Linked DNA regions of Mytilus edulis. The protein of the gene in region 1 interacts with the protein of each later gene in a pairwise test. Links are inferred from orthologs where the notes say so. Each region holds a gene or a part of one and is shown on either strand. Other genes may lie near its edges.

Region 1 (7,926 bases):
CAAGGTCAAGGTCAGTGTGAGAGTATATTCAATTATTGGTTGTTAAAAGTAAAATCACAAAAATACTGAGCTCCGAGGAAAATTCAAAATAGAAAGTCCCTAATCAAATGGCAAAATCAAAAGCTCAAACCCATCAAACGAATGGATAACAGCTTTCACATACTTTCACATACCCGACTTGGTACAGGCATTTTCTTAAGTTAAAAAATGGTGGATTTAAAGCTAGCTAAACCTCTCACATAAAATGTTTGCATGGTGTTGCATTCAGTAATTATCAAAAAATAAACTTCTTTGTTATTCTAATTTCATTGGCTCAATTTTACGTAGCGATTTCAGGCATTTTGTTAAATGTCTATCAATTTTTCTAGACATTTTATAAAATGCTGTAAACTATTTGTTAATTCATAAACATGATAAAAGCCTGAATCATACATGGAGACATTTTCCCCCTGGCATTTCACTAAATGCCCAAATTCATAAAATGCCAGTAACATATAGATTCTTACAATGATATCAATAGATTATCAGATTTATCTAATCGAGATAGTTAAATTATCAATTTTAAAGTCAAACCCTGGCGAGGACTTTAAAATTTATAATTTAACTATCAAGATTGGATATATCCAATAATCCACAAGTAACTATGTAAGAATCTTTCTCTTCAACGTTTAATAAAATAATTTTTATTTTTTGTTAAAGAAAATCCTCTTTGAGGATCTTCCACATTCAATACAGTTGTCAATTTCATTAACACCAGTTAGCATACCTTATGCATGAACACTAGCGCCCTCTCGTGGGCATTGCATACATCCTCTACGGCTGGGTCATTTATACACTTCCCTTTCACTTGTCGTCTCCGTAGTTTTAAATAATTGTACCATAATTTGTAGCTGCAATGTAAATAAACAAAGGTAGTCATAAAGGGTCATACAAATATATGAAAACAAATTACATGAAGAGTATACAGTACATGTCAAATTGTCCATTTACAGTTGTTTCTCAGTAACAAAATATCACAAGAGACTGTTACAACTGAAGTTTTCTTAAGAGGTCTAATAAGTTGAAGTCTTGCTTAGAGATTATGTACTTTTTTTTTAATAATTTTTAAGTAGATGAACAACATAATTTATTCACTCTTTTTGCTAACGAAAATATATCAAACTTCTTATTGAGAAATCAACCATCAAATTAGCTAAAAACATGAATGAAAAAATTGCCTGTTATCCAAAATGATTTGGGTATGAAGTAAGATATATAAGTAATTAGTAATTAATGATATTATTAATTGTTAATCATTTACCTTCCTGGCAATTCTTTCAGAGCTCTTTCATATATCATATTAACAACATTTCTTGAAGCTAGTTTCTTAAACTCTAAGTAACGAAGCCAACATTTAACAGAATATGGGTTTCGTAAAATATCTTCTTCATATGGTAGATCATCTTCTTCCTAGAAAAAAAACCAAACTAAAACATTTGCAATTTTTGATATTATATTATCAGTCAGGGGACTTACTTAAATAAGTGATTTTCTAAATCACTGGTTCAAGTAACATTATTTCCATAAAGGTTGGAAGCAAGAGTTGTCTTTCTTTAATAATCACCTATTTAAGTAGTACAAATTTATCACTAGACTAAGTGATTTAATTTCATTGTAGCTTTAAATATAGAATACTAATGATCCAGGGACTAATTATGTTTCTAAACTTATCAGAACAATCATCTGTGCTGTCTAGGATGATCAGGTCATTTCAGGTGATGACCTTGTACTGAATCTAGGATAATGACATAAAAATCATCTGTTTAAGTATCATACCTCAATTTTCTTCCAAAATATCATATTTTGATAACCCCCACTAATTTCAACACCTCTGAACAGTGAAATTTTTATCGCGAACAGTAGAATTTTATTACATAATCTGAAAGATGAAACCTTGAACTTTACAGGAAAAATACTCCCACTGCTGGGGAAAATCTGTTTAGAAAGTATCAGTTCATTATTTAAAGCCGTCATTATAGCATTTTTTCAACTAAAATAGAATTTGCAACTAAATGATAGCATCAAAGGCATAAACCTTGCTACTAAAAAGAAGCAAAAAATTCATGTTTTTCAATTTTACTAATGAAAAGATATTATTTAAACCTATGTGTTAAAAATTTTGGTAAAACTACAAAATCACACAAAATTTTGAATTTGCTACTCAAATAAGTGATTTAAAAATCACTTTTTTGAATAAGTCCCCTGACTGATTATTTTCTTTGCTATAATTCAATTCAAGCTATTTCCCTTTTTGAAAAGACTTTGAAAATCTTTGAAAATCTGAAATAGTCCATTTGCCAATTTTTTATTCTGTTATTACACACCTTTTTGTATATATATTGTGTAAATGTATGCCTATCGTTGTGTCTGTTATAAAAGCTTTAACACATTCGTGTGATGAGTCAACCAACTCTTTACGGATTACCCATGTAGATGTAGATGTCAAGGCCGTAGCGCCTGTCTATTTAAAGTGAGGCAAATCGCCTAGCGGAGCGAGGTGACCAATTTTTTTGCCTTTTTTTAAGGGGCATTCTGGGTGCCTGAAACGGGAGAAGCTTATTTCAGCATTACTATTTAAAATAAAAAAACAAAAAAAAAATAACAAAAATGCGGGTTTGTTTTATATTAGCTAGCCTAGTGAGTAACAAAACAAGTTTCATATTAAAGTTAATCTATGTTGGTCAATCAAAACTTTCCGATTCTCCTGTGACCTGTACTATCGAAAAGCTTCAACACACGTTCTTATGTATATATATTTATTTATGTCCAACAGCAAGTTATAAGCTTCTTAAAGACTAGAACATGTTATAAGCATCAATTAGGATATATTTATTATACATAATCATTAACCATAAGAATAGGTAGAGAAGACTAGATCAATATTGTTACTTAACCGGATTTTTGACGTTCTAATGTCACAAGTGATCACAAGTTATCTGTAAACATTCCGCTGGAAGACATATCAACCTACATGTACATTTTTACCTGGCCACATTATTCTACCAATTTATAAGTCATTGGTTTGACCTACCGGGGTTTGAACCCACGACCTACCGCAGTAGCACGCTAGCAAACAACAAGACAATGCTGATCATAATCAGAAAAAGAACCACAAAAAAAATATTTTCAAACAATACCAAAAATATATTTCATACTTTTATTAAAGATAAATAAAAATCATGAACTGCCTTATTCATTAAAGACTTCCATAGAAAACGCGCTTCATGATTTTGTTTAAATTAATTATAAATAATTATTATTTTTTTGGTCAATGAATTATTTTATCGATTAACATTTAACAGGCTATTATTTGAACTTGGAATTATTTTTAATTATGGAATTTGCTTGATATCTTGTTATTGAATTTTTTTATAAATTCCATGTTTATTCTGTACTGAAATGCTCTGTGCTGCGCACAACACTTTCTATTACAAAGAAAATACTATATTTTCAATAGAATGTACTGTGCCGCGCACAACACTATCTAACCAAAATACATTGTATGGAAAGTTTTATTAACCGCTAAAAAGATTTTAATACCACATTAACATGGAATTTATTAAAAATTTTAAACACAAGAAATTATGCAAATTCCATAATTAAAAATAATTCCAAGTTCAAATAATAGCCTGTTATTTGTTGTTCAGTGAGTTGATAGTGTAAACATTAGCAACTATAGCTTTATCAATTTAAAAATAAACCAAGTAATAAGCCAGCATACTTATAGGGGGTGTTTATACTCATGAGTTACCCTTTTAATCTTTTTTTCTCTTTAAAGAACCCGTCTTCCAACAGTTTTGTAACGACATTAAAATTTGTTTCAAATTTTTTATTTTGATTTGTATTCGGAACATTTATTTTTTTTACCGTCACCTCTATGGTAAAAGCTGCAATCGCTGCTGCCGATTAGACACACTGTATGTAGTGTGCCAGTAGATAATTTGTAACTCGAAACTCGCATATTGATAATGTAAAATACATAATTTAAAAAAAAAGACACTTCTAAAGTGTGGTCGTCGTTTCAAAAGTGCCAACAACCGCTTGTATGGGGACGAAGTCCCCAATAACAGTAGAAAATTCAATAAAAATTTTTTCATTGTACTAATGAACTCAAAATCGTTCAAATTTTTTTGTCGTGTTTTGAAATCCCGAACCTGCGCAGAAATGTACTTCCTTTTTCCGGTCTCGTTTGTATGAAACTTTAAGTAAAATATATATTTATCAGTCTAGTATAAAATAGGAAGGAACGCGCAATACCAATTTCATTTTTAATAATTCCTTGATATGAAAAAACGTTACCTGATGATAGCGTTTCTTTGTTTACATTGCATATGACGTCATAATTTAAATAACGTCACAACTAAAATCCCTAACAACAGAACCAAAATCGGAAACGTTACGGTATTTCCGTTTCTTTTTTTTAACAAATATTTAAGTTACAAAAAAACAATTCATACAGACTTCGTCCCCATTTCAGTACAGGTAATGCCTGCCTCATATTAACTTGAAAAGGGTTATTTACAAAGAAAATATCTTTCTGTTTTTCCATCAGTACTGGCATCCTTTCTTTTAATGTCTTAAGTTGAATAATATTTTCTCAGTATTTCTTTTCTTTTAGTTTTAAGTTTTCATGGGCGCTGACATATTGGATCGTATAAAATGCGTTGTGTGAAATTTTAAAGGGGTGTATCAATTTGTGAGGCAAAATATTTAAAAAAAAATATCGAGACCAAATTGATATACAAGCAAATATTTGTTTAATAATGAAAACAAACTGTATCTTACAATTACATTTTCCTAATTCTAAAGATAAGCATCAAAATTAAGAATTTAATATAGGAACCTAGCCCCCCTTAGTATCATATGGAATATCCCATCTACATTAATCTCGTTTGTTACGAGAAATGATTAAACTTCCCTCCATCTAAACAATTCTGGAAAAAAAGACTAAGAGGATTAGGAGATTGTCGGTAAAAATATAAATGGTAGGTATTTAGGTGTTGTCATTCCCAAATTGTAGATGTCTTTGTTTTTTATGTGTGTCACAATTTGACAGTTACGCTTCATTATAGTATATTTAATTTATAGATCAATATATATTGCAATTGATATTTTTGTCTGTTTTTTTTTGTGAAATTGAAATCCAAATTTGCATACAGCTGCATTTTGATATCTGTGGGTTACAGTGATGATTGGCCCTATTGACAGAACAATGAAAGAACCAAAATAAAAAAAAAATATGCTAATAACAAATTTGAAACATTGTGAAATATAATGATAATAAGATTCTCTCATAATTTTATACTTGAGAAAAAAATATAGAAGAAAAAAATAAATACATGCTTTTGAAAAAACATGACCTGACCAAAGCCGACAATAGAAATATTTACACTCATATACTAATTTGTCCCCCATTATGTTCCGTAACTTTGACATCACAATTCAAAAGATTTGACGTCAAAATGTAATTTGGAGCAGATCTAAGCTTAATAAGCTTAAGCAGATCAGAGCACCTGAGATCACCCCTAGTTTTTGGAAAATGACGCAGTCATTGTTCCATTACTGGCGACCTGAACTTCATTGCATTTCTCTGCCTACCGCGCTTGGTTTCGTATTTACTATTTTCTATACAAACTGGAATTTGCTTGTGTTATCATTATGCATGAGAGGTCATTGTGTAGTAATCAGCCAGGAACCAGTTTACAAACTAACTGGTTTCTGCTTGTATTCCACTACACTCGAACAAAGTGTTGTAGTTTGACGGGAACCAGTTTAGAATTTGTAAACTACAAAACGTAATCGGTTATTGTTCATTCCGTTTTGGTGTTTCATACCGACTTTTATGGTTTGAATAAGCTTAAGACCCTTCAAACATTAATGTGATAGGTATATTAAAGACTGTTTTACAAAAGGATGGAACTGTTTTGCTTTCAAATCGTACTATAGTGATATCTGTTATGTACGGATTTCCACTCTCACCGGTTAATTTCTTCTTTTACACGTGCTTTTGAAACTTCCTGTTTAAACATCGCAAGTTTTAAAATTGTTTTTTGAGTGAATTTAACTTATTTTAACAATCATGAAGCGTTCCAGAATCATTTTCAAGCAGTTTCTTCTTCTCTTTGATGATGGAAAATATGTTTTTCTCAAGAAAATACCGCAAACGATCGCAGAGGAATTGAAACGTACAAGTCAAGTCGGCACCTGGTTAAATTGGCATCTAGTCAAATCGGCACCTATTTGACGTCAATTCGGCATCCAATAATATTTGTTATAATATTTTCTATTCAATTAATTAATAACTGTTACCAAGTACATAGTGAATATGTTGTTGTGAAGTTAGGTAAACAACGAAACCAAAGTGAAATTATGTTGTTGTGTATAAAGGTAAACAACGAAGCCCTTACCCAAGCTGTTGTTTTAACAATTAGACAATTATTAAAATAAAATGGAAAACTATGAGTCCCTTTCAATAAATCAAACTTTCATGCCAAATAATAAGCAAATTTAAGGTGTTTTTTTTCTTCAGTAAAGTTTAAAAAGCATTAAACAAACAATCCTGTAAAATGCTCAACTGGTTTAAATAATGCATAAAAATATCCAATATCTCATGTATTAGTCCAAATAATTATGACGTCTGGCAAGGCTATTTTATTTTTTTTCTGTGATGTCTTCCTACGAAGTTCGTAGGAAGGCGTCCCAGAAAAAAATTAACATAGCCTTGCGGTCATAGAAAGGTGTCCCAGAATAAAATTAAAAAAGCCTTGCCAGACGTAATAATTATTTTGACTACTCATATATATATCATTAAAAATACACCAAAAAAGTCATTAAGTTGAGAAAAATAAATATATACAAAATGTACATGAACACCCAAAAATGTGAAAGTTAGTATTTAACTCTTTTTGCTTAAATACTGAAAAAAATTCTGGCAACCCCTTACTTATTTTTACTCTTTTTGCTTAAAATACTGTTAAAATTTATATTTAACATGGGTGACGAATTGACTATATCAGGTGTGGATTTAACCAGGTGCTGATTTGTCCAGGTGCCAATTTAACCAGGTGCCGGTTTGACTAGAATTCTTTGACAAATGTTTGAAATTACCTGAGTTTCATAAGACCTTTGATAACAGTAACAAAAAGATTATTTACTTAATATTTTGTGGGAGAAGGGGGTTCAGACTATGTGGTATCATGTCTGTTCCCGCCCAATACACTTTCGCACCCTACACGTTCGCACCTCGCACGTTCGCACCCAAGGTCCGTTTGCACTCTACTCATTCGCGCCCAATTTTAATTCAAATTCAAGTTGAATAATTGGAAAATCATGATTGTTGTTTTAAATTGCTTTGGTGTTAATACTGAATGTATTTATAGCTTGGTATGAGTAAAACATTGAAGATTTTAAAGGAAAAACACAAAAGATAATTGTTTTTAACAGCTTGGTCCCTTTGATCTGAAACAACGAAACAATAAAATATAGGAACCAAAATATAGCAATCCACTATTATAACCAAAACAAAGCAACCAAAACATGATTAAGAGTAATTCAACACAAAATAAAACGTTGACAAAATACCACTTTATTTAGAAAGGATTATTATAATTTTTAACAATACGCTATCTAAAACATGATTAAGATTTATTCAACACAAAAAAAAATGCTGTCTCACTTTATTTTGAGACAATGACAACAATTATACTTATAAGAAAACACTTGCTTACAGAGTTATTAAACACAAAACCAATTAAGATTGGGTGCGAACATGTAGGGTGTGAAAGTGAAAGGGGCGAACATGAGTGGGCGCGAACGGACCCGGATTCAGACTATGTACCAGTGAGAAATATACAAGCCTTTCTACGGTATTTATTTGTACAATTCAGG
Region 2 (7,822 bases), on another chromosome or scaffold:
GATTGCAATGTCATGTGTGGCATCAGATATTTTGTATTGTGACGTCAATATTTCTGGGAACCTGTGTGATGTCCAGTAATTGCAGACAAATAGCAATTAGGTGTACCTTTTGCTTTGATGCCTTATGTTGATAGTTCAAAGCAAAAAAGTGTAATAGCCTTTATGGAGGGTGGTAAAGTGTTATTTCCGTGCAACATGTTTTGCCATTTTTATTAAACGTGCAGCTGTGAAAAACATTCGTTATTCACTGTGTTTCAGGGCTTCCAAAACGGTCATATATTCCGGTCATTTGTATAATGTCTGGTAAAAGTCCGGCTGGGCAAAGCATGAAACGGTCATATACTTTTTAGTTTTCAAGGCTTTTTCAGTCATTTTTACATAATTCACTATCTTTTTGACCCAACCTTTTGCCTTTAACATCAACACATTTCCGATTATATATCATGTAAATGTGACATGATGATTAATTACTATCAAAACAACACCTACTTCAATACTTTCTAATTTTAATCAAGGCTAATTAGTAGTTGGACAGCTGAAATCTACCTGTTCAGGTGACAGGTGAACTATGTTCAGTACCAGACATCGTATAAATTGATCGGTTTATTCACAATTACTTTCTTACATTTCAGCAGTTTGTATCTAATTGATTTAGTCCAAAAGATTAAAATTATTAGAAATTAGTTTATCAACATGATTTGATGAAAAATTTAAAAAGGTTTTAAATGAAAAATCGTCAGAAGTATTTTGTTGAAGAAATAACGTGGAAAGAGCTTCTTCTCTTAGTTGTGCTTTGTAAACGTACACGAATTTTACGTATTCGTTTATGGTCCATGTTTTACCATTGTCAAGTCAACATCCGATTAAAACAATGTGAAAACGAAAGTAAAGTTTTTGACAACGTCATTTTGCACAAATAAAAAGTCTAAGGCAGATATGAGCACGCTATTGTGCATGTTTTGAACGATGCACTGCCAATTTAACAGTTACATCAGTCAGAGATATAACTCTATAGGGTTATTCCAGGAAATAACTTGCGTTTGTTATCACAGATACTTGCACCTTAAATTTTCTAAATCTCTAATAACATATGCTTGTTATTTGTAAAATTATTTCATTTATAGTGGGCTCTAGCTATATATATAGGGAACTCTTGAGACTTTGGCAGAAACTAAATGCATAGTTTTGATAACAAATTTTTTAATTAAATTAATACATTTTTGATGGACCATGGTAAATCAATGAGTCGAGGCTATTAAGGGATAAACTTAGCTGTGATAACAAGGCTTAGTTATTAAAGGAATGTAACTTATTATATAAGACACTTGGGAATTACTGAGAAACTTACACCTTGTAATTAAGCATGATGTATGTCTGAGCAAATGCTTTGAAGTGATATAGAGAAGCTGTGATAACACCCTTTAGTTATTACAGGCATATTTTTTCTGTAATAACATATAGGTGTACTATGCAAAATTGGCAAACTATCAACTGTTATATCTTTAAATAGTTAAGTATACATATAGAAAAAAAGTAATATCAATAGAACTTTTATACATTTTAACTAAACTAATGATGTATATTGTCCCTTTCAGGGATCTCCATGGATGAAAATTGAACGATGGAGGAACTTTCACCATTACAAACTGTGTCTACGCTGTACAGTGTAGCGAGATCGAAAGTATTTTATCCCTCCATACAAGGAACGGTGAACATGCTAAATCATTGCTTATTTAAATTATATTTATTTGAATTTTCATTATAGAATTAGAAGTATCTATATTTTCATTTTTTAACATTTTTGAAGGCTTTGAAACATGTTATCACAGTTCTTTGATTTTTTAGTTCACACTAACAAATGTATGTTATTTTCCTGTAATAACCATATAGAGTTATATCCCTGACTGTACATCAGAACATCAAATTCATATCATATCAAAGTAAAGTTTAAAATCGTTTTTTTTAATGTAATGTAATGTCAATCATTGGAATGGCCATCTGATTACCATAATTGCCTTTTGTGAGTAAGTCTTAAGGGATTAAAATCGGGATCAGATATGAAATGTCCGGCTGGGTCAAATATTTTTTGGAAGCCCTGCCGTGTTTCATGAAATCGGTAAAAAGATCAACGTGCAAGCAATTTTTAATCATTTGTTCATTGTGAAATTTTATTTCCCGTTCTTCCGTGCAGATACCCCCTTCTATATAGGCTTCATAATTATTTGGACATATTTGGCACATTACATTTTAAGAAAAAAGGGGACGTCACATAATTTTTGATGATATAAATACCCTTCTTTCGAAACATTCACAAACATGTTAATGACAGCATAATCCACACTGACCATAGAAATGGTGTATAATTTAAAATATTGTCAACAGTGAGACTATGAACATGATTGCATTTGGTTTACTTACTGTACCAATAGCCAGGGGGAGTTTGAGGGGTTCGGACGAACCCCCCCCCCCCCCCCAAATCAAATAAGCACTGTTCAAGTCAAAGTTTTGTTCAAATTGTGACTGTTAAAGTCGAGTTCGATTTATTCGTGATAATGTATATATTTTAATTTAATGTAGCATCATGTGTTTTACTCTTTTGAGTGTGTACGACGTTAGACTAAGTTGATATGACAAGGCACATGAATTATTCGTCAAAATAGTCATTCGCAACAATCAACCGTTTTCTGTGTTTCATAAATACTTACCTAATAATAACAATTTTACTTCTCTCGCTGCTTTTTCGCCATCTGCACGAAGTGTTTTGTCAATTTGTTTTGATCTTTCCGATGCGGCTTTGTCGTCGGAAGAAGTAGCACACCCCATAGTTTATTTGTAATGTTAATCCAAAAATTACACCATAAATTATATAATAAATCCAATGAACCAAAAATATGTGTGAAAAATGATAAGAAACACCCAAATTTTAAGAAAACTTCCTGTAAATCGTTGACATTTTCATCGGTTGTCTGATGCTTTTTGAATAAACTCCCCGGATGTGGACGGGCACCTTGTCGAGACTTGAACGAGATTAGCTTTTTAACATAATTATATGGACTTTCTCAAAACATGTTTTTTTATGTCTGTTATTTTTATTAGACATGTCTTTTATTTTTCGATCAATAAGTTATATCAGAGACATATTCTGGTTATAAATGGAGACTAGAAAATATTTTTTATTCATTAAATCCGTATCTTTCAAATTTACCTGCAAATTTTAGTATTTCCTCTTTCTGGGACTATTAAACTAACTATAGTCCCAGCTCTTTTTGATATGGCGTCTATCTATGATGGGCATTGATCATTGGAGGGTCATAACTAATTTTCTCGTGTACTAGCAAAAAACTTGTTGAAAATGCTATAATTAAAATTGAAAAAGCGATATTAAATATTGCAAATGCTCTTTTCGATGATGAAAAATTCTCTTTTCAATATTCCAAAAATCATTTAAGCGTAGGTTTTTTCGCGTTTTGTGTAATAAAGCATTTGCGATAAATCATAAGTATTTGCGATGATTAATATAATATTCGCAGTGATAGATACAGCACTCATAATTTGCTTAATCATGCCTACTGAAGTAATAAAAAAACCTTAAAACTTATAATTTTTTGTCACAGGATTTGCTGTCATAATATATACTTTTGAAACCCAAGGTATCAATAGAAATGCAATATATATATATATATCGCTTAATTTAATTTGATCTATGACATTGAACATTTCGTCAATTTTTTTTACTTTATAGTTTCTGCACCTGAGATCACCCCTAGTTTTTGGTGGGGTTCGTGTTGTTTATTCTTTAGTTTTCTATGTTGTGTCGTGTGTACTATTGTTTTTCTGTTTGCCTTTTTTATTTTTAGCCATGGCGTTGTCAGTTTGTTTTAGATTTATGAGTTTGACTGTCCCTTTGGTATCTTTCGTCCCTCTTTTTCTGCCCACGGCTAGCTTCTTCTTAATTCTCCACAAACTGTAGAAAAGCTTACATTTTTATCATGGATCCACTTATAGATCATGCAAAAATGTTTACTTATATATGTGAATAATTATTGATTTAAATCTTTATATTATATTTTGTTATCTTTTGTAGATTTTTATGCCCCACCTACGATTTTAGAGGGGCATTATGTTTTCTGGTCAGTGCGTCCGTTCGTCCGTCCGTTCATCGTACCGTTCGTCCGTTCGTTTGTCCGTCCGTCCCGCTCCAGGTTAAAGTTTTTGTTCGAGGTAGTTTTGTAATGAAGTTGAAGTCCAATCAACTTGAAACTTGGTACACATCATGTTCCATCTGTTATTATCTTTGTAATTTTAATGCCAAAATACATTTTTACCCCAATTTTACGGTCCACTGTACACAGAAAATGATAGTGCAAGTGGGGCATTCGTGTATTATGGGGCATCCGAGTACTATGGACACATTCTTGTTGTTATTGCTTTTACTATGATTGGAACTTTTGTATTTTATAGCCTGCCTACGTGCATATTTTAATTCTTTCCGAAATGGGGAAACCCCTATTTTATTTTAGTTTATATTTGGCATTTCTATGATAAAAAATAATATAACGCGCAACACAGATTACGCAAAAGACTATATATCCTACAAATCTAAACTTACGACATCGCATCAAAATTAAAAAGAACTGCCAAGTTGATATTATCCTTCATAGTTTTTGCAATCTTAGCTTTATTTGGAAAAATTGAACCATAATGGCTACTAAAAGCGAATTATCATGTCACTATATATATTTCACTTTCATTACTGATTAAACGAAAACTTGAAAAATAATACTTTAGGGTTTTCATATATCTCGTAGCTAATGGTCCCTTAAAATGCATATTTAAGAATTGAATGCTTCTTTTTGTAAATTTATTGGGGTGTAAAAGCGTTGACCGAAGTACATTTTGTATGAAGCGCGGAAGCGCTTCATTCTAAAAATGTACGCACGGTCAACGCTTTTACAACCCTATAAAGTTACAAAAAGAAGCATTCAATACTTATAATTACATTTTTTTAGCTATGATCAAGAAAAAACGAATTTTATATTGTTTTTATTTAATTCACCTGTGCACTTTATTGTGGGACCACGTGTTATCATGAATGAAAAGTTTTATTGAGTGATACAATTGCTTACGGAATAACACGTGATGTGCTGTTAGCTAATCAGAATAAAGTATTATAATGAAACATACATCTAATGTAATTATTAGTCAATACTGGGCAATAATTAAAATGATAAATGAAAAATAAATAAATAAAATAGCCTCCACTAGACCAGGGTGAGACGAGAGCAAGGTACGTTCAAAGTGGAAAGGGATCAAGTTAATATAAATTGCAACACTTGTTTCCCAATCCACTATAAATAAATATGTTTAAATTAAATTAAGGTTCGTTCATATATTTTTCATTGTTTTCTCTTCAAAAATGTCTTACAACTACTAGTAAAATAAGACATGATAAATTACTTCAAAAAAGTTTATCTCGTGAGATAGCACGAGACTACCATAACACATAATCTCACATTTTGTTTTACAGCTGAGACTATATGTCTTTCCTTTTTTAATGTGTTATAGTAGTTTCGGGTCGTCCGTGTAAATTAAGTTCGGAAACTACTTTTCGAGACATATATAATTATATAAATACCCATCAAACTAGGTGAACATTTCAACACGGTAAAGAAACCACATAATATTGGAGGAAAATTGTCTTAAACTTGTCTTAAAATCGTCTTGTGTCCAATTTCATTCCATAGATCTTTATTATTTTAACGGTCTAAGTTAATATTTGTTACTTAGAAAACCTCTTTGAATTATGTATGTTGTAAAAACGAAGTCTGTGACAATATTATAATTTAATTCATTTTAAATGGAAATTTATTTATCAACAACATAGAGCTTTCAAATAGAAATGAGATTAGAGATTTGAGGATATTCCAATAAATGCATCTGTCCCAGCGTTGATATTATATTTCCTTGGCGGGTTTCATCTAATGAAGGGCGTATGTTAGTTATACGTCCCGGCTTGATCTAATGAATTAGATAGCATATATGACATATATCATTATTTCATATCCGTTGAGAATAAGATTCTCTTATTGGATTAAAAGAGGTCACATGACATTCATTATTCTTCAGTAATAAATTCCATCGGTCATTAACAGAAAAAAACGGACCAGAAAACCGGTCGTTAACGAACTTTTACATGATAATGACCGGTGGGGCGTGGTTTCCGTCTGATAATGACCGTTGGGGCGTGGTTTTCGTCTGATAATGACCACTGGGGCGTGATTTCTCTGTTAATGACCGGTGGGGCGTGGTTTCTCTGTTTAGAGAGATGTACCTTTTATAAAACATTTTCCTGTTTTTAATATTATATTTAGGTTGTTGAATTATTTATTATATGTTTTCGTTAATTATAAAATTCAAGATAACTTGATTAAGTATTTATATACTGAAAAATTGCACTAAAATGAATGGCAGTATTACTACGACTGGTCTTCACTGTTTGCCATAGAAATCGTGCAACTACTCGAGTTCGCTGTAGGCATTTTTAATTTATGAGAATTTTCCAAAACATGGTTTCTCAATGAAATAAACATACTAGTTCTTAAAAAAATAGTCATTATCGTGATACATGGACTGCCCGTAGGACAGTCCATGTATCACGATAATAACCAATTTTTCAAGAACTATTATATAAATAAATATTCTTCATAGGTCCACTTTTTATCGTCTAACTTTGCTTATTATTTTAAAATTCATATACATTTATCTATTACAAGATATTTCTCTCTCTCATCATTACCACTTTGTCATATTTTTAATTTAAGTATCAAAAAATGTATTTTTCCATCTTCATTTAAACTGGCAAAGTCATACCAGTTTATAAGAACAAAGGCTCAAAACAAGATGTTTTTTAATTACAGACCAATTGTAATTTTACCACTCATTTCTAAAATCCTTGAAAAACATGTGAAAACACACTTAGTAAAATATCTTAATAAACACAACTTATTGTATAGAATGCAGTCAGGCTTTCGTGCAAATCATTCTTGTCAAACTGCGTTAACAGCTTTAATAGATAAGTGGCTTAAAGCCATTGATGATGGCGATCTTGTTGGGGCAGTTTTTCTAGATCTAGCAAAAGCCTTTGATCTTCTCAATCATGAACTGCTTATTCAAAAATTAAACAAAATTAATACAAATTTGCTTATACTTCATTACGCTGGTTTACATAATATTTGGCTGACAGATATCAGAAAGTATCTATTTCAAATCAGTGACATTATCAGACGTACAAAAACAAAAAACGGGTGTACCTCAAGGATCCGTATGAGGACCGGTGTTGTTTTTAATTTTATTAATGATCTTCCTTTGTCTAATCCTAATCATAACACCGATGTATTTGCTGATGATAGCACCATATCAGTCATTGGTTAAAACAAAAGTTGCATCAGTCAAAAACTTAATACGGTTTTACAAGATATTTTTCGCTGGTGTGAGGACAATAAAATGGCTGTAAATGTATCTAAAACAAAAGCTATATGCATTGGATCTAAACAAAAGCTTTCCGTTACATCAAATGAAAACATTAATCTTGCTTTAAATGGACAACAAATTATAGAAAGTACATGTGAAAAGGTTCTAGGTATTTTTATTTATGCATCTCTTTCTTGGTCTTCTCATATCGATTCTATAATAAAAAACAGTTAACTCTTCTTTAGCTTTACTAAAAAGGATAAAGAAATATTTAAATCACAAAGCTAGACAAATGTACTATAACGCTTACGTTTTACCTCACTTAGATTACTGTTGCTCAATGGGGAAACTG
Region 3 (7,351 bases), on another chromosome or scaffold:
AATATGCATGACACTATCTCTACACGGAGCATCGTATTCTGGCCATACGTGGCTGGGTACTTGTACATTCGCACTTTTATACGGTCGCCCCACGTTAGCATGCAGTTCAAAGTAAAGAGTAAATAAAAAGTACTGTGACTGGTCTTCCTGCATGAGTATATGACTAGTTATTAGTTTAAGAATGTTTGCTTGTTAAATGCTTGTAATCCGCTGCATGCATTTGTAGATCTTACTTTACTGAACATTCTTGCTGCTTTCAATTATCTATAATGACAAGGCCCAGTAGTTACAGTAGATAATATTTTGTAAAAAATTTACAAAATTTATGAAAATTGTTAAAAGGGCAATAACTCCGTATGGGGTCAATTGACCATTTTGGTCATGTTGACTTATTTTTAGGTCTTACTTTGCTGTACATTATTGCTGTTTACAGTATATCTGTAACTATAATAATATTGAAGATAATAACCAAAAGCTGCAAAATTTTCTTAAAATTACCAATTCAGGGACAGCATCTCAACAACGGGTTGCCTGAATGGTCTGAAAATTGTAGGATAGATAGATCTTAACCTAATGAACAATTTTATCCTATCAGATTTTCTCTAAATGCTTTGGTTTCAAACTGCATTTTACCCTTTCTACTATTTTTAGCCATGTCGGCCATCTTGGTACAGGGGCGGGGTCATCAAACACAATTTTTAAACTAGACAACCTAATGATGATTGTGGACAAGTTTGGTTAAATTTGTCTTAAAAGTTTCAGAGAAGAAGATTTTTGAAAAAGATTACAAAAATTTACGACAAATTGTTTAAAAATGACTATAGAGGGCAATAACTCCTTAAAAGGTTAACTGACCATTTTGATCAAGTTAACTTATTTATAGATTTTACTTAGCTGAACATTATTGCTGTTTACAGTTCATCTGTATCTATAATAATATTCAAGATAATGACCAAAAACGGCAAAATTCCCTTAAAGTTACCAATTTAAGGGCAGCAACCTAACAACAGGTTGTCTGATTCATCTGAAAATTTCAAGGCAAATAGATCTTAACCTGTTAAACAATTTATCCCATGGATTTGGGAAAACTTTTAGGAATTTTGGTCTTCAATGCTCTTCAATTTCGTACTTTATTTGGCCTTTTTCACTTTTTTGCATTCGAGCGTCACTGATGAGTCTTTTGTAGACGAAACGCGCGTCTGGTGTATATAAAAAAAATAGTCCTGGTATCTATGATGAGTTTATTCCCAATATCCCCATGTCAGATTTGCTTTAAATGCTTTGTTATCAGAGATACATGTATAAGCCAAAATCTACATTATTTTTACCCCTATGTTCTATGTTTAGCCATGGCGGCCATCTTGGTTGGTTTGTCGGGTCATAGGGCACATTTTTAAAACTAGATACCCCAATGATGATTGTGGCGAAGTTTTGTTAAATTTGGCCCAGTAGTTTCAGAGGAGAAGGTTTTAGTAAAAGTTCACGACGACGGACGCCAAGTGATGAGAAAAGCCACGTCTGGTTTGAATGGGGATGCTTAATCCTATGGTTCTTGATGGGAATGTGCAATGCCTTTGAGGGGTCAGCAAATAACTCGTTGAAAGGCGACATCAATACCCCTTTCCAATAAATGTGCATATATTACAGTGGCAGGCGACATCCTCGACGTTTATCCGGGACCCAAAGGGGTTGAATGTGTAGAAAAAATGATTTTTCTGTGTTCCTCTTCAGATAGTTAGTAAAACGCTTGTTAAAGTTGGACTTTCGGTTGGCTTTGTGGGATTAATAAATTCGAACCTACGTCCGGTCAGAACTTGGGGACGTTAAATCGAATACATCGAGTGTCGCGCAATCTGCACTCTAAATACTCTTGCAGCAACTCTATGAGTCCGGAGCGATTTTTCTAGGCAAAAATATAATCCCAAAAATACTGAACTCCGAGGAAAATTCAAAACGGAAAGACCCTAATCAATTAGAAAAATCAAATGATAAAACACATCAAACGAATGGACAATAACTCATATTCCTGACTTGGTACAGGCATTTTCACATGTAGACTAAAATAGTGGATTGAACCTAGTTTTATACCGCTAACCCTCTCACTTGTTTGACAGTCGCATCAAATTCCATTATATTTACAACAATGCGTGAACAAAACAGACATTATAGGTAAAATTGTCAAAATAGGGGTACAGCAGTTATCACCGTGTCACAATCTAAATCAGAACAAAAACAAACAAATATTTAACAAAGAAGCACAAAAAAGCATATATCAAATTCACAACCACGTTAATTGCTTACTTATTTTTGTATTTTAAATCAACCCATGAACATTGAAGTATTCGAAGACCTGTGACTGAATGGCTAGGTTTACATCAACTCTGGTGTAGAATCGCGTGTTATACGTCAGAATGTAAACGTCACACAGTTAGAGATACAAAATATTTTTGTCGTTCAAAGTTTTTTTCAAAATTATAATAGAACAATAACATAATGGCGGGATGTTTAAAAGTACAGAGCCACGTCGTATGTACCAAAGAAACACAAAAAGTTAAACGTACAAAGTACACCAGCAAAAATGAAAGACAATACAAACAATACATTGACGGGATGGATGCATAAGTACCGAGTCACGTAAAATGAATATCACCAAAACCAACCAAACTGTAAAACTGATATTAATAATAGAACAAGGACATCTAAAACAACAATTTAACACGTTATTAAGATGATAAACAACGTCAGTACCTAAAATCTACACACCTAGACCATCATGTATTATGTGTGAAGTTTATTCGGAATATTTATCAACTAGGTCTTGGTACCTTCCGATGAACTTTTTTTTTTAGAAAAAGGACGAAACGTTCTTTGGCGCACCCCTGGTTAATCACTATATGACTTTCTGTTCAGACACTGGTGATGTTTTACAAAGTCTGAGTCGGAGCAACATGCTCTTGAATATCGAATGAATAAGTTGGAAAATGTATATCCCATATGCAGATGGAGTTGGTATATTGCTACTATGGTGGGGGAAATTGATAATTTCAAAATTAAAAATCGTTTCGTTTGTCATAGATTCTAATACTGAGATGACTGTGTATGTAAAATTCGAGGTACAAGTCTAAAAATGAGGCGGAGGAGGCCGTGTCTGTTGTTTCTTTAATTTCTAGTTCTGGGGGATATATTAATGGAACCCAATCAGAAAAGTTCGGATGGTTAATGGAAAGAACATCATCAATATATCTGAAAGTGAAATTAGATAATCTGGCTTCTTGGGTCTGGTTTTTGACATGTGTTTGAAGGAACTCCGATTCATATGAAAACAAGAAGAGGTCGACATGGAGAGGCGCACAAGTCGTTCCTATGGGAATGTCGACTATTTGTAGAAAAAGTCTACCTCTAAATTCAACAAATATGTTGTCGATAAAAAAAAACTTGTTCTTCTGTGTAGCATATTTTACCCGTTTGTTCACTGTTAACAAACACTTTAAGAATCCACATATGGTTAATACCACTACGCGAGAAAGCAGTTTCACGGTATTTCAAAGACCCTCTTTCACTGCAGACAGAATTTAAATGGACAATTATTTAGTGGAACATGCAGGTGAGCCGGCAATGTACCGTTGTTTGTACGGAATTTTGTGAAGCTTAGGTATCCCCAATACAAACAAGTTAAGTCCTCCGATTTGTTGTTCAATGTAATGTTCATTGCAGCCATTGCTGAACATTGCTCAGGACTCCGAATCCCAAAAGGACTAAGGTGTTTACTCTTTGTGGGGTCCGTTGGCAATCTGCTACAAGGCAAATGTCTGTCCCTATCCAAGATACTCACATTATCCAGACAATTAAAATTTCACGCATTTTACCCGGTAGACATCCTATTTTAGGACGTACATATTGTTATTTTGATGATTTGTGCTCGTCCTGAACATGCATGTAATATTTTCCACTGGACGTTTAGCTGAAAACAAACAAAATATTTATCTTGTCGACCCGATATTTTGCAGATGTTACCAGTATTGCATTAATGTGTTCTAGTCATAAATATGCACGAAATATTTGCCACTTGACGTAAAGCAAATATCAATTCATCAATCAATCCATATAAGATGATAGACCCGGCTTATTTTTTATTCTTTGATGATAATTTTTTAAAATTTATAATAGCAGAAAGATAAGATGCATTGTTATATGTGAACCGAATCAAAATAAAACTTTCGCTTACGTATTTAGATCTTTTCAACAGGTACGGACACCTATAAGTGAGTAGTTTTCATGTCCACAATACATCAAATCAAGCTAGTAAATTGTCTGTGCTAATTTAATAGAAGAAAATGAACAGGGCATTAGAGATCAGTGGTAGGTTTGTATCAGTCTTTGTATCATAAATATCATATAAAAAGGATAAAAAAAATATGCCCAGACACCAATCAATAAATTGGATGTTTTTAAGGGGGAGTCTTTTAACCGCCTCGGTAGCGCGCTCACCTCGAGTGCGGGAGGTCATGGGTCTGATCCCGGGTGTGAACAGAATCGTTATACATAATTTAAGCGCCTACCCTATATACAGTTGCCTTAGTCATGAAGATAGTCTGGAATCAATCAAATAAAGAATACGGGTTTACCAAATACCATGCATATATAGGTGTACAGCACCTTATTCGAAATTACTAAACTAAACAATCGCATATACCCGAAAATGACTGAAAAGTCAATCTATTATTTAATGATGTGGTCCTGGCCATTCTATGATGGACGTTAAAGGGGACAACAGTTTAAATAATGACTCTCCGCTTTGCAAAGGACACAGAAGAGGGAATATCTGGGTGTCAGTTTAGGATACCTGGTCTTTCTGCAAACTGTCACCTTTAACTAAAGTGCAAGACAACCGTGTTGTATGTGAATAACATGTAAACGTCCTAAATACGCATACAATATTTAATATCAGCTTAAAATGTTAAGCAACTATTACTAAATCAGTTAAAAGATTATTTGCTTGAAAATTGTGTTGACTGGTTCAAAATTCAGTTTTATTCAGGTCGGTACTTTCCGGTAGCGTCGGCGTCAAGTTGTGATCAGTACATTTATCAGTTTTGAATGTGTTTGAATGTGTTTGCATGGTTTACATTTTATCTATTGCCATTGGAATTTCAAAATTATGTTAAATGGAAACATATCTTATATCAATTGTTTGTAGGTAATAAAACTCCAGTTTTAATTTTATATTACATCAAAATAAACATTTCTTTCCCCTTCATTAATTTTACATTTAATGAACAGTGTTAGCATGGTTGCAAACGAATTAAATCTGTGGTTAAGCCTGTTATTTAAGGATATCAAGACATATTTAAAATATCTATAAGCATAAAATTAGTTTTGCCACGACAATATCTTAAGATTCCCATATATTCATTTCATGTTAGTTTGTTGATGATGTAATGAAATTTTAGGGAAACATGGCTATTGTCACGGAAAAATAACATTAACAGTCCCAATTTTTATTGCACCAGATGCACATTTCGAAAATTAATGTCTCTTCGTTGATACTCGATGCCATATTATTTTAAAAGTCCAAAACCCAATACAAAAGTATTGCAAAAACTGGACAAGTATGAGGGAGCAGTGGCGGATCCAGGGGGGGGGGGGGTTCTGGGGGTGCGCACCCCCTTTATTTTTGCCGATCAATGCATTTGTATCGGGACATATGTTTTGCACCCCCTGCACCCCCCTTTGCCCTGGGTTAGCACCCCCCCCCCTTTCGAAAATTCCTGCATCCGCCCCTGGGGAGATACATTTCTTAATTTAGAATAATTTCTAAATTTTATAATATAGAATATTTAAATAGAAAAATATCTTTTAACATTGTTTGTTGCATAGCATCAAAATTCTTGATTAATCTTATGAAATCTTGCCTTAAAGGTTTTGTTTTTTATACTTTAATATTCTTAGTTTTTATATTTTTTCTACACTAAAAATTTGCGTTCATTTATTGACATTTTAAAATGCACCCTTAAAATGTAAGAATTTAATACAACAACAAAAAACAACTACTTTGTGGGTCAGTACAGATTAATATTTTATAAAACTGCATGCATTACTCTTCTTTTTATCCTTTCCAGTTTTCTGTCAAATATGTGTATCATCTGGCCATGGGTCCAAACATTCCCAAGGATAAGTAGGTTTTTATCAATATATTTATTGACGTTAAACATTTCTATATTTACATGAAAATATAGCTTGTTTGTAAATCAAAGGCTCGTGGGAATCTTACCTAATTCGAGGTACCGTAAATTTGATGCGTCTTTCTGATCCGAGTACGAAATTTCAAAATGCCAAATGTGAGTTTTCTCTATAATTGCGTCAAAGATCTCTCGTTTTTAGGGACCTATTTTTAGATTTATAAATAAGGAAATATATCTTTTGTTACGTATACCTGTGTGTCCTCGTTATTTCAGAAAAACTTAGTTTTTAATAGTTAATAAGGAGGATTGTATGTCACTTTAACTGGTAGAGTACAATACTTTATTCCAAATAAGGCATAATAAGGCTTACTGTCGCCTAAGCGTTTCTTACCACTGCTGTGGTATATACTCAGTATACTTACTTTTACTTATATGCGACCTTCCAAATTATGGAAAGTTAAATTGAGTGTTAAAACATTACGATTTTAAAAACAAAATTCTTATAATTAACTAATTTTCTGTCAGATCAAATGCGATAGTCACACCTTTTTATTAATTATCCATTCATGTATTGTGTTCATTCATCAATTAGTAGATTGCATTTAACACCAGGTGGCGTTAGTTCTACATTTATTAAACTTATCGATCTGCGGCATCTGTCAACTAGTTTTAATGACCAAACACACAATTAAATTATTTCCACCAGCTGTAGAGACATAACATTTTTCTCTCATTAAGTTTTCCATATATTTACACGTGAAAATGTACGCATAAATAGACATCGCCTTAGAAAATTGATTTCACAGGCAGTGGCACCGCCCAATCAGCATCATCAGCTACCTGTGTTCGTCTGCTGATGTTATCTACAGACAATTCATTTTGTATGCTACAAGATTTCCAAGGTATACTGAAGAAACGCGTGTTTAATATTCGATTAACAGTTTAAAGACAAAAAGTTGACATTGATTTTTATGCATTTTTAGCAACGGAGGCTGCGGATTAATGTATTAAAAGCCCGTGCGCGGACTGACGTCACTTAGTAACCCCCATAACAGAAAAGATATCTGCACAACGAAGCGATCGATTTTTACATTGGATGGTAGCAAGTTGCCGCATATTTAAACAGGCTTTGTCGTGTGGCTTGTTTGCATCTATGAAACCGGTATATG

What was found.
Region 2: the proteins of G-protein-signaling modulator 2-like (region 1) and guanine nucleotide-binding protein G(i) subunit alpha interact in a two-hybrid assay, tested with the Drosophila melanogaster proteins (2 studies listed by BioGRID). The link is inferred for Mytilus edulis from reciprocal best matches to the Drosophila melanogaster genes pins and Galphai.
Region 3: the proteins of G-protein-signaling modulator 2-like (region 1) and guanine nucleotide-binding protein G(o) subunit alpha interact in a two-hybrid assay, tested with the Drosophila melanogaster proteins (3 studies listed by BioGRID, with this or other methods). The link is inferred for Mytilus edulis from reciprocal best matches to the Drosophila melanogaster genes pins and Galphao.

What each region holds. Positions count from the first base shown.
Region 1 is NC_092345.1:1,970,673-1,978,598, reverse strand, and holds the start of G-protein-signaling modulator 2-like, read left to right. Parts: upstream 1-4,914; 5' UTR 4,915-5,024; intron 5,025-7,926. Other genes in the region: pre-mRNA-splicing factor SYF1-like, read right to left, coding at 767-890, 1,301-1,449, 4,562-4,600.
Region 2 is NC_092344.1:74,223,346-74,231,167, forward strand, and holds the start of guanine nucleotide-binding protein G(i) subunit alpha, read right to left. Parts: upstream 3,047-7,822; 5' UTR 2,824-3,046; coding exon 2,706-2,823; intron 1-2,705. UniProt on the Drosophila melanogaster protein: Guanine nucleotide-binding proteins (G proteins) are involved as modulators or transducers in various transmembrane signaling systems.
Region 3 is NC_092348.1:39,849,514-39,856,864, forward strand, and holds the start of guanine nucleotide-binding protein G(o) subunit alpha, read left to right. Parts: upstream 1-4,271; 5' UTR 4,272-4,334; coding exon 4,335-4,363; intron 4,364-6,458; exon of another isoform or gene 6,459-6,507; intron 6,508-6,783; exon of another isoform or gene 6,784-7,351. UniProt on the Drosophila melanogaster protein: Guanine nucleotide-binding proteins (G proteins) are involved as modulators or transducers in various transmembrane signaling systems.